Linked DNA regions of Coturnix japonica. The protein of the gene in region 2 purifies or fractionates together with the protein of the main gene of each other region. This does not show direct contact. Links are inferred from orthologs where the notes say so. Each region holds a gene or a part of one and is shown on either strand. Other genes may lie near its edges.

Region 1 (6,011 bases), on a different chromosome or scaffold from region 2:
CTTGGTGGGTGATGAAACCTTACAAAGAATAGAGCAGGAGGAGTGGAGCAGAGCTGGCTGTTGGGGTAGAGCAAAAAGATGGGGATGGCTGACCTGTAATCTGCAGCAGATTGGCAGTGGGATGGTGAAGGGGATGCCTTCTTTGCCTGTCCTGAAGTGACCTCCAGCCACCCTCCTCCCATCAGAAGATGCCTGCAGCCCAAATATCATCCTGATCCTGAAGCCTGCAAATGGCCAAGCTGGGCATCATGAACATGAGTGCAGCTCCAGGTCTGATGAATCCCCCACACTTGCAGGGATATCAGTATTACCTGTGGCCCTTCTCACACATGGACTCACCTCTAGTCTAATGCATGACAGAAGCTCAGCTTTCTGTCCCTGAGCTGACTGAGGGTTGAGAGATGTGATCTCAGAGCTGCATCATGCTGTGTCTGGAATACTGACTTAATAGGGTTACTGACTTAAATGGATGTTCCCATGCATTTATGGCTGTGAACCATGCCCCCAAACACCCTCAGGTAGCTCATATGCTCAGGACAGCAACCCATCCTGCTCCTTCAGCCCTTGGCATTTGCAAATACATGGGAGCAGGAGGGAAGGACTGGGCTTTTCATGTCATGTGTGGCCTGAGGAAGGGTGAGGATTCACCCCAGCACCTCCTGCCCAAACAGCCCCCCAAAATTGGCCCAGGTGCAACAGAGGAAAGAGAGCAGTGGGGGACTGCAGCCAAATCTGACAAGTGGACAATATTAAGAAGAGGGGACCACTTCTCCCTCTGGCATTCCTTTCCAGGCTCAATGGTAGTGTCAGAAGTACCTCTGTTCCTTCATCCCCATCTGCCTCTGAGCCTACTCCTTGCACAAATCATAGCAGGCTGCTTTTGAAGCAGCAGGATGGAGGCTGCCTCTGTTGGGTCCTTGGCAGCCCCACCTTCTGAGCAGCCCAGTTCCCCTCCATCAGCAGATTTCCAGTGGTTGGGTGGAAACCCAGCATGAAAATGGCCCAGGCTTTGCCAGATGTTTGGCATTCCTGCAAACCAGCCCTCTGGTGATGAGTGAGAGCCGTCTGCAGACCAGGAAGGCTTCATAGAAAGTGGATGGAGGGCAATTCTGCCTCTCAGCCCACCGCATAAAGCAAGGTATCATTGTTATTAGAAGGAAAGGGGGTTAGGCTGCAGAAGGAAAAGCAACTTTGCATCCCCTTGGTAAAAATACTCCATCCACAACAGCCACCTTTTAGCACGGACTAGCTAAGTGTCGCCCCTCCAGGCATTGCCCCAAGGTCCCAGCAGGACTTGGGACCTCACCCCGGCTCCCCAAGGGGCCCCTGAAGGACCAGGGGGTAGTTTGGCAGAGCTCCTTCCTTCTCTTGTTTTCCCCACTTGCCCCCTTACCCTGCTGGGTTTCACCCACAAAAAGAGCAGGGCAGGGACCTCTGTGCCAGAGCAGCCAGGGCTCCTTGGGAACGAGCTGGATCAGGCTGAGAAATGCTCCCTTCCCAGGGGGCTGTCACACGGAGTTATTTTTCCCTCAATGCAGCACGAAGGAGAAGTGTACATTCCTGGTAAGAAACAACAAACCTTTCTCCTGCCTTCATTCTGCCTCGCACTGAGCTTCCCCTGCAGAAACAAGCGCCAGAGCAGCCCCTGTTCCAGCTCCAAATTAAAGCGATCAGGGGCAGCATCAGCCCCCACGACCCCCTAATCCCCTCTACACGCTGCCTGTCCCATCCAATTACTGCCTCAGCAGCAAGGAGCACTGCTCTCAGACCTGCTCCTCCCCAGCATTTCTAGCGCTGGTCCTCACATTACTGTTCAATATCTCATTTAAGGCAGGTTGCTCACAAACAGACCCTTGCTCCCTCCCCTCTGAAAGGCTGAATTACTCTCAGGATGATATTTATAAATATATACATATACATATATATATATATATTTCCTGCAGTGTTTCAGATACATTTTTCAAACCTGAATGGCTGCGGGGCTGTTGTGAGCTCCTTCCCTTTCTGTTTTATTTGTGCACCATTCGGATCCCATGGAATCGGCACGGGGATGCAGAGGGGACACGCCATGCAAATAACAACCATGGAACCAAAACGATATCTGGGGGAGGGAAACCCACAGCTCGTTCCCACTGAGAAGTGGGGAATCCATCGGATATGGGCAGACAAAGCCAGACACAGCCCCTCACTGCCGACAAGGCGCTTGGTTTTCATTCATTTTCCCCCTCTTTCCACCGAGGTTTCCAATGTGGGAAAGCTCAGAGGGGCAAAGCAGCAGTGAATAATGCAGGGAGCATGGTGGGGAAATAGGGAGGGGTCCTCCAGCTCTACACTGGGGCTGGGATCAGGGTGCTTTTGTGCCGGCGCTGTCGGGGCTCAGGCTGATCATTCATGTTAGCAATTAGCCCCGAGCTGTTATAGAGGGCTCTGTAGAAGTTCTGGATGATTTTAGGGGTTGTTGTTTTTTTTTTCTCAGTCAGATCTACAAGGGTCAGCCCTCAGCAGGTGGAAACCCACCCTGCTCAGCGCCGTGCCTGCCTCAGAACCCTCAGGTAGTGCCACCCTGCGAGGCCAGCAGGCTCCATCCCATGATGTCTGCGCTGCACAAACACCTCCGGGGCTCTTGCAGATCAGGAGGGGATGGAGGGAGCAACAGGTGATCATCCCGAGCAGGGGACAGACTCTTCTCTGTTACACCACAGCCGGTGGAGAAAGATTCCCCCTCTGCTCCCTGGGAGGTGGTGGCTGCCCCTCACGTATCCCCAGCTGCGAGCAAAATCCCCTCTGCAAAGAGGGGTGCAAGCCCTGCAGTGATTTCCACCCATCCCAACCATTGGGGTGCCACCAGTCTGGATGTTTCCAAGCGATTTTGGCCAAGCTGGAATGAGAGGAATGAGTCCCCAGCTCCACAATGGGGGGGGGTCCCCACTGCCCCCACCCCAACACTCTCTCCCCAAGGACCTGCTCCTTGCCAAGCCCTATTTCCCACAGCTCCCATACCAGGTATCCCCTCCCCGACCCCAACTCACCAGGGAGGGACTCAGCAGGAGCGCTGCACGGACATCTTGGCTCCCTCCTTCCTCCGCGGGGCTCCAACTTGGTATTTGCAGAGCGATGTCACCAGCGCCTTCAGGAGACTGGCTCATCCTCCTCCCTGTCTCGCTTCAGAAATCTCTGTGTGTGTGTGTTGTGTTTTTTTTTTTTCCTTCTTAATTTAAGGGACTTTTTTTTTTTTTTTTTTTTTCCAGTGGTTGCGTCAGGCCTGTTGCCTGGAGACAGGCGAGCTATTCCAGTTTGAGCTTTTCAGTCCAGATTTCCTGTCTCTCTTTCATTCATACCACCAAGCCCCGAACCTACCTCCCACCAAGCAATAACCCTGGAGAGACCTGAAAGGGAGGAGCCGTATCGCCCGGGTCCTAGACATCCTCCTTCCAGGCAGGAGGGTTAGGGATGCTACTGGCAATGGAGGGCTGCTGCAAGGGCAGGGACCCCAAAAAGCCCACAGGAGGCACTCGGACAGCATCCCCGTGGCTGTTCTCATCATGTTCCATAGAGAGCCGGGGACTTCTGGCACTAGGGAGAGCTCAGAGATAGTGTTTCTCAAATGCTTGCCTAGAGGTGAGCGTGCATACGGAAGGCAAAAAGGGATGGGGATAATTTGGCAAGGCTGAGTGGGAGTCCCTGGGAAGCCCTAGGGTGGGTAACTCAGGGCACTGCTTGCTGGCACCACCCAGAAACCAGTTGTTGCCCATCTGCTGTACTGGGAAAGCCCCTGTTGCTCCCACATCTCTCCCAGCAGGGCTGGAAACCATTTTAACTGCTTCCAAGAAGGGACCCATAGAAACACGAGCCCAGTTGCTGGGTGACTCTGGGACCGTGAGCTTCCTTCCTCCCCCAGGGGTTAAGGATCAACACCTGGGGTGACTCTGGAAAGGAACACCACGTCTGTCCCCACATGCAGCTGTTGCACGTCCAGCATCTCGGGGCAGTGTCTGCAAACACAGTGGTGTGAAGGGTTAAGTGCTGGCCATAGACACCTCATCACCCCGGCCCCTTCCCACAGCCAGCCTCCTTCCTTTCTTTTTCTTTCCCCCCACCCCCCAGGGCAGTGGGGAATGATTTACAGCCCCTCCCTGAGCCCAGCATCTCCACAATCCCATCACCAGGCTGCAATCCCGACCCCCCTCCCCACACCCCGCAGCCCCTCCTGTGTAGAGTACAGCCCTGCAAGATGCAGCAATGCAGACTTCAAAGAGTGAAGAACAGCGTTTTCACATTTCTGATGCAAATGCAATTATTATTATTATTATTATTTTGCTTGGACAGCACCCTCGTTTTGTCAATTTTCAGATATGCATATGCAAACAGCCTGGCAATCAGCTCTCCCAGCCACCTGGCAGCTGACACCCACCCTTCCAGGGGCTGCTGATGGTGAATGGGGATTAGAGAGACATGAGAGCTCTTCCCTTGCTGTTCAAACCCTCTGATATGGGACTGTAGCTGCATTTCATGTCTTAGCACCAAATTTCACGCAGCATCTCACCAAAACAACCCTGGGTCTGTGATCATAGAAGGGATCATAGAATGGCTTGGGATGGAAGGGACCTTAAAGCCCATCTAGTTCCAAGCCCCCTGCTATGGACTGGTCACCAACCACTGGATCAGGTTGCTCTGGATGAACTAAACAATATCAAGACATAGACAAGGTCCAGGGATGTGTAGTTTTGACATGGGATCAGCATTGTTTAGAAGTGAGCAAGACCAACCCCCTGCTGTGTGCAGAGTCACCAACCAGCAGCCCAGGCTGCCCAGAGCCACATCCAGCCTGGCCTTGAATGCCTGCAGGGATGGGGCATCCACAGCCTCCTTGGGCAACATGTTCCAGTGTGTCACCACCCTCTGGGTGAAAAACTTCCTCCTAAGATCCAACCTCAACCTCCCCTGTCTCAGTTTCAAACCATTCCCACTTGTCCTAAAAGAAGAGAAGCTGTGGTATGGGTTAGTTTAGGAGCAGAGGTGTTGCTGCCAAAGCTGGACATCTCTGTCATTACTGTAACAGACCACACATGGCCACCCGCTCCCTCTTCTGTAAATGTTTATTTTTAACTTAGTTGTGTAATGGATTTCAAATGAGCTGCCATAAGATACCAGTGAAAGGCTGGAACCACATCCCTCTAAAGTCTTCTCATGGGTTTTTAGTATTTTTTGGCTTGAATTTATCTCACTGCCTTTACTCAAAGGACCTGTGGTGGGGAGTTGTTCCTCTCCTTCCACCAAAACCCCCTCTGTAATGAAGCTCTAACCCCAACCACCTGTGATGAGCACCTGAGATTAGCATCGGAGATCTAGTGGTTGGCAACCCTGCCCATGGCACAGGGATGGGAACTGGATAATCTTTGATCTTTTAATCTTTGGCCATTCCTCTTCCATAAGGGCAGCTGTTCAGAGTCTTGGAGGAGCATCAGTGGTGGCTTCTTAATTGGTCACCAACTAAATGCCTTTTCCACAAAGCAAAGTGCTTGGAACCCAGCCTGCCAGAAGTGGAATGAGGAGAGGCTACCACTAGTGATCTACCCCAGCTGCTTCTAACCATTGCACCAGGAATGTCCTCTGAGATGGTTAGAGAGCTCCTTGTGTGCTCATCAACTTTGAAATGGGATGGAGGCACCTACAGAGGGCAGCAGGTCTCCAGCTAATGCTCTGTTCTGGCCACTGCAGGGAAACCATTGCGTACACAGAATGAGTGCAGGGGGTTGTGGATATATGGCTGTTCATGGCCAGGGGTCACTGGGTTGATCTGGAGGGACCAGGAGATGCCCAGGATGATGGAAATGACCTAGTGCTGCAATATGGTCTAGTGGGCATGGTGATGATGGGATGATGACATGATGATCTTAGTGGTCTTTTCCAACTTTAATGATTCTATGATTCCAAGCTTTGCTTCCTCATTCTCATGGAAAAGCAACATGGCATGAAGGGATTAACTGGGGACCTCTACATGGAGGACCCAA
Region 2 (5,363 bases):
TCTAAGTTACTATTTTAAGTGTATTTGGTGATTCATAAAGCAATATCAAAGTTGGTAGATAAAAGCCATCCACACTGTAGTGTATGTATGTAATATTTCTTTTCACCTCATCCACGTAACTCATCTCATTGCTTAAGCAAGAAAGCCAGCATGAGCATTTTCTAACTGAGAACAGCACAGACACAAAATATGCACATGGAAATATCTCAGCATGTTCATGGGCTTTCCTTTTGGCACCAGTAAGAATTTGAAAAACGACAGAGAATGTACAAATTTCACATATACTATCTCACAGACTGATTAGGTTCTAACCCTCAGCCCTTTTAACTCAGGTCCATAAACATAACAGATCATTCTTTCCAGTTTCAGCTCACAGCTTCATCCTGAACTGACAATGTGTTTTGCAAAAAAAGAATACAAATCTCCAATCTTCAAGGATCAGGAGTTCATGAAGTAAGGAGAAGTGATTCTGCACTGCATTTAACAGCTGCTTCCTTGGGGAATGCACAAATTTTTCTAAGCAAAACGCCCACTTGAAGCTGCTATGTATATGATTAGTTTTCCAAGGATCAGTGGGTGTGTCACAATGAACTTTCAGTACCATCATCTGTGAGTCCTGATTCTCTCCCCAGTCCCTTCTATTCTGACCACCCCATGAAGATCTGGAGCCAACAACTTTATATGTTTGTTTAAGCACTGTCTGAACTGTGTGAATACTTTCTTTTTTTTAAACCTTAACTAGCATCTTCCAACTCCAACGTATTTAATCCCTTATTAGTAATACGCTTTGCCAGCCTTTCTCAAACAACCTGAATGTATATCATTCAGCCAAAGGCTTGAAACAGACTTAAAGAAAACATAAGGAAAACTACGTAATGTAAGCTTTTGTGAATATTTCCTAAAGAAGGCAGTTTCTCTCCAAAATGCCAGTTAATCTGACGTCTACTGGTCATTCAATTCTAAGACATGCTAACCTGACTAACATGCCAGATACATATCTGTTATATAGGGCCCAAGTGTTACTTTTAGGTAATAAAAATACAACTCAGCTATCACATCTTCATAATCAGTTTACTTAATAACTCACTCTGAAGGTCAGATCACGTGCAAGAGGAGAGGTGTTGAAATATTCAAAAATGGAATCCTGAAAGTCTGGAAGTTTGAGACCTAAAACCCAAAACAGAATAGCCTTAGTTAAAAAGCCAAATCAACGCTGCATTAGAACTCTGTTAAAACACAGCAACTTCAATTACCTGAATCTGTTCTGTATTTTTCTTCCAGTTTTCTCCTTAAGCCTTCCATCTCTTCCAGTAATTCTCTGTTTTTTGCTTCAGATTCCTTTAATTTACTAATGTAAAAAATAAGATCAAAATACAGTCATAAGTATTTCCAAGTCAGGAATGCCAGCCTCAGAGTCCTAGAAAAAATCTTTTTATTTTTCCTTTTTTTTTTTTTAAATTTTTTTTTTCTAGGCTAATTGATTTTATTTTTCTCCTCAATTAGTACCTCACTACCTGACTAGATAATGAAAATTACACTTAAGACTCCTGTTACCACTGTAATTATTTGCCAAATATAATTATTATAATACTAGTTTGGTCTCCCAGTCAGTATATTAAAAAAATATTTGGTTTTGCTTTCAATTTGCTCTTAGCCATACTTTTTACCTCAGGTGCTTAAGATCCGTATCTTATTCCTGAGATATTCACACCAGTGCAAAGTTAACTTGAAAAAAGAGTTCTCATTTGACAACACTAGAAACGTCCAGCCTATAGAGTGGGATCTTTCCAGCAAAGTCCACTAATCCAAGCAGAAGGGAGCAATCCAAAACAAAGCTGTTACTATTACTATTCTAATTTACAGCAGCACAGTAAAACCTAAACATAATCAAAGCAGCTCTTACCTTTCAAAAGATATGTTTGCATCTTTAACTTTTCGTAGCTCTTCTTGAACTAGTTGTTTGGCACGAATTTCAGCATCAAGGGCAGACTGCAATTCCAGCCTCGCTGACATATCCAACTTCTGACTGCGTCGCACTTTCCAAAGTGGATCCTGTTGCAGTAAGTTATTGAATATTAACATCAGATGTCTAAATGTATTTCAGTAGCTGTTTAGAGACGTAAAATATCTTTCACGCTGGTTCAGAGAATGCACTTTTGATTAATTATGGACACTATTCCCACTATGCAGAAATCAGCCAATAGCCAGATATTATTTTGTAAAAACAAAGTAATGATAATTTGCTTTTAATGGTTATATATATATATATATATATATATATATATATAGCATAATATGCTTGAAATCAAATTGCTAGCACCAAGAATGACAGTCAAGCAGAGAATCCACAGAAAATGGTTAGCTTTCATTGTTCAGACTAGAAAAGCATATAGAACTTGCAGAGTGACATACTGGACTTCAGGAATTTAGATAAATGTATACAGTTTATGTAAGACATAATATCCTAAAACATAGCACAAAGAAAATGAAGTAATTTGGGTCTTGAGATATCCTGGATACTTAGGGACTTTCACCTAAACAGTTCATATGTTCATTAAGTAGATTACACTATGTAAAACCTCACCACCTCCAGCTACTTTTCCAAGGTTTTCAAAGCATTTTTCAGTGCGGACTACATTTTCAGTGCTCTGGGTATTCTCTCCAGTCAGATGAAAATGCAAATAATACTCATGAAAATGAGAGCCTTTTTTATGTTGAGAAATAATTAACCTTAGATCAGGTTCTGCATAAGTTACAAAACTAGCTGCAATATACAGAACAGAGAGCATTCTTTATTCTGGGCCAACCGCATTTGATCCAATCTTTCTTCTTATAAAACCACTCAACATTATGATCGTTTCCTCTATGATGCAGGCAAAGGTTAGCTTGTAAAAAGTCATAACCTTCTTTTATTTTCACCTATTCATAGGTTTAGAAGGAATGAGGAACTTTTATCTATATAAACCAGCAGCAGAATGACTCTTTCCACGGCATCTGCTAGGGACGTGTGCTTCCATGGCCAGCTGCAAATGTTTTTCCCTTTTCTTAAGCAGGTATTTAATACCTGCCAAGGCAGAGCAGTGTTTTTGTCTTAGAAACCATACTCCTTTAAGAGGATTTCTGTTTAATTTATTGCTTCTACTCCTCTGTACTGCGCAACAGTTTTAGTGGTAGATGTTATTAAGAAATACCACTCTATTTATCAAATTCTGATCGTACGATCCAAATGAATTTATCAATAGGTAAAACCAGTATGTCATTAGCAGAGCAGAGGATTGATTAGAAAAAATGCCTGATTCTGAGCAGATATTGAGAATGTTGGCTTCTTAGACATCTCCAGAACAGCCAAATGCTTGCTATTTTCTTACCAGTGTTCTTGATCCCAGACTGGAACTTCTCAAAGATTCTAGTTCTTCTGTCATTTTGGAGGCTAATGCTTGGAGATAGCCACGAGCATCCTTTTCATCACTTACCCTATTGTGCAATCACAAAAAGCTGTCAGTGAACAGTTTCATGGATCACAGCAACAAAGAATGTACTACCAAATAATTATTGTTTGCATCGGATTTAGAGACATGGCAAACATGGAGAAAGCATGAAAAACTCCCAGCAGAGAAAACTGAATATTGCTTATATTGCCTTGCTTTAGGTTGTTCTTGTATTTGATTCTCTCGATTGTGGCAGTTACCAGGGAAACTGAAGCTTTCCTCCTGCCATCAGGAAGTGTTCTGCAGAGATTCTCTGCTGTTTTCTGTAACATGATCTGCATACTGCTTGCTTGGTTTTTATAAGGGCTATTGTAAAGTCCTCCTATAACATATGGAAGGGCAAGTACAAAAATGATGCAAAACTTGCCCCTTACCACTCAGCTGAAATGCCTTTTCAGGCCTAAGTATTCATCAGCAACTAGACTAATCTACATCTAAGTTAAAACCACAGATCTCCAACTGTAGCAACACTCATTTTCAGCCAGCAGAAGACACATGTAGGTGACTAAATGTCATGCATTCATTAAATACCCAGGAAATAAGAAGGAAAGACTGATCCACGAATTAAGTGCAAGTGTGTCTCATACAACTAGTCAGGGTCTGTGTTAGCGTGGACCTTTAAATCATGACAATCTTCCCAACAAGGTTTATCAGAATACTCTAAACGTTGTGGCTTAATAACTACTTAAGAGTTTGAAGCAAGTTGACAAACAAACCCTCTCCTCTGTACTTAACAGTATCCGACAATTTCACTTAAAAATCTTATTAGCCAGTTATTCTGCAAAGCAAAAGAGAAATGGTTCATCATCACTCCAAAGCACTATGTTTTTGTTTGATCCCAGATGCACAAAAAAGGGCCTGGCTATACATAAAAAAAAGTGCAGTCAATATTTCAAAAATCTGCAAGTGGCCATCAGGATCTCTAAACAATACATACCACTGAATAATTTCTGCAATCTGAGCTTCCCAGTGAGCAACAGACTCCTTCTTTGCTGCTAGGTCTTGGAGCTCATCATCTAGCTGCCTGTTCTGTGCTGTTAATTTGTCCACAAAGGAGCAAAGCTGAAACAAAAGATTTCCCCTTTACATACGTTTCATACATTTATCAATGTGTATGTCTACATACTTACAGAATTTGAACAAACAACACATGAAATTATATTTTACTTGTTATTTTTGCAGAACTGGATCATGATCAGATACTGACCATGGAACACATTTCCATTTCACAGAAATCGATTGAAAGCAAAGGTGGAGCAGATTGAAGCAAGCGCAGAGGCCACAGTGAGGAAAGAGGCTTAACTGTAAGCCATCAGGAAGGCAAGCTGGCATTGTGAATGCTTTGCTCTCTGTGAAGCTTCCACACAAAAATTGGAAGGTGGTGCCCTCTGAGTTGCAGGAATCAGTTCCACAAAGAGCAGTAACTGAGATGCTAAAGCTACCACTTGGCCAGATCTCTGACACTTATATCACCAAAAATTCATTTGTTTTACTATATATTACCTGAACATTTACTGGTACTGTTCAGATCAATGAGAACATTATTTGAACACTTCAGAACAGCAGAACATAATACTTCTTGCTTTGCTAAAAAAAATGTTTCCTAAAATAATTACCTTCTCATTTTCTGTTGTTAGCTTTTTGTTATCTTCTAAGAGCATAGATCTTTCACGCTCGTATTTCTCTTTCATTGATCCCACTGCTTCCTCCATTTCGCTATGCCTAAGGAGGACAAGAAATACAAGCATGTACAGTAAGACTGCAGAATCTAGACTGGGATTTTCAGAAAAACATGAACAGGATTAAAGTGAAACACCATCCTGAGCTGTTACCTACGCGATGCAGCACACATACAAAAGAAATCCTTGGTTATTA

The links. The genes of interacting proteins can lie anywhere in the genome.
Region 1: the proteins of CDC42BPB (region 2) and FAM167A purify together in Homo sapiens (co-immunoprecipitation; 3 studies listed by BioGRID and IntAct, counting the BioPlex papers as one, with this or other methods). This does not show direct contact. The link is inferred for Coturnix japonica from reciprocal best matches to the Homo sapiens genes CDC42BPB and FAM167A.

The regions. Positions count from the first base shown.
Region 1 is NC_029518.1:97,819,775-97,825,785, forward strand, and holds the start of FAM167A (protein FAM167A), read right to left. Parts: upstream 3,490-6,011; 5' UTR 3,030-3,489; intron 1-3,029.
Region 2 is NC_029520.1:45,426,898-45,432,260, forward strand, and holds part of CDC42BPB (serine/threonine-protein kinase MRCK beta), read right to left. Parts: intron 5,211-5,363; coding exon 5,105-5,210; intron 4,551-5,104; coding exon 4,426-4,550; intron 3,475-4,425; coding exon 3,369-3,474; intron 2,053-3,368; coding exon 1,904-2,052; intron 1,349-1,903; coding exon 1,254-1,348; intron 1,168-1,253; coding exon 1,088-1,167; intron 1-1,087. UniProt on the Homo sapiens protein: Serine/threonine-protein kinase which is an important downstream effector of CDC42 and plays a role in the regulation of cytoskeleton reorganization and cell migration. Regulates actin cytoskeletal reorganization via phosphorylation of PPP1R12C and MYL9/MLC2.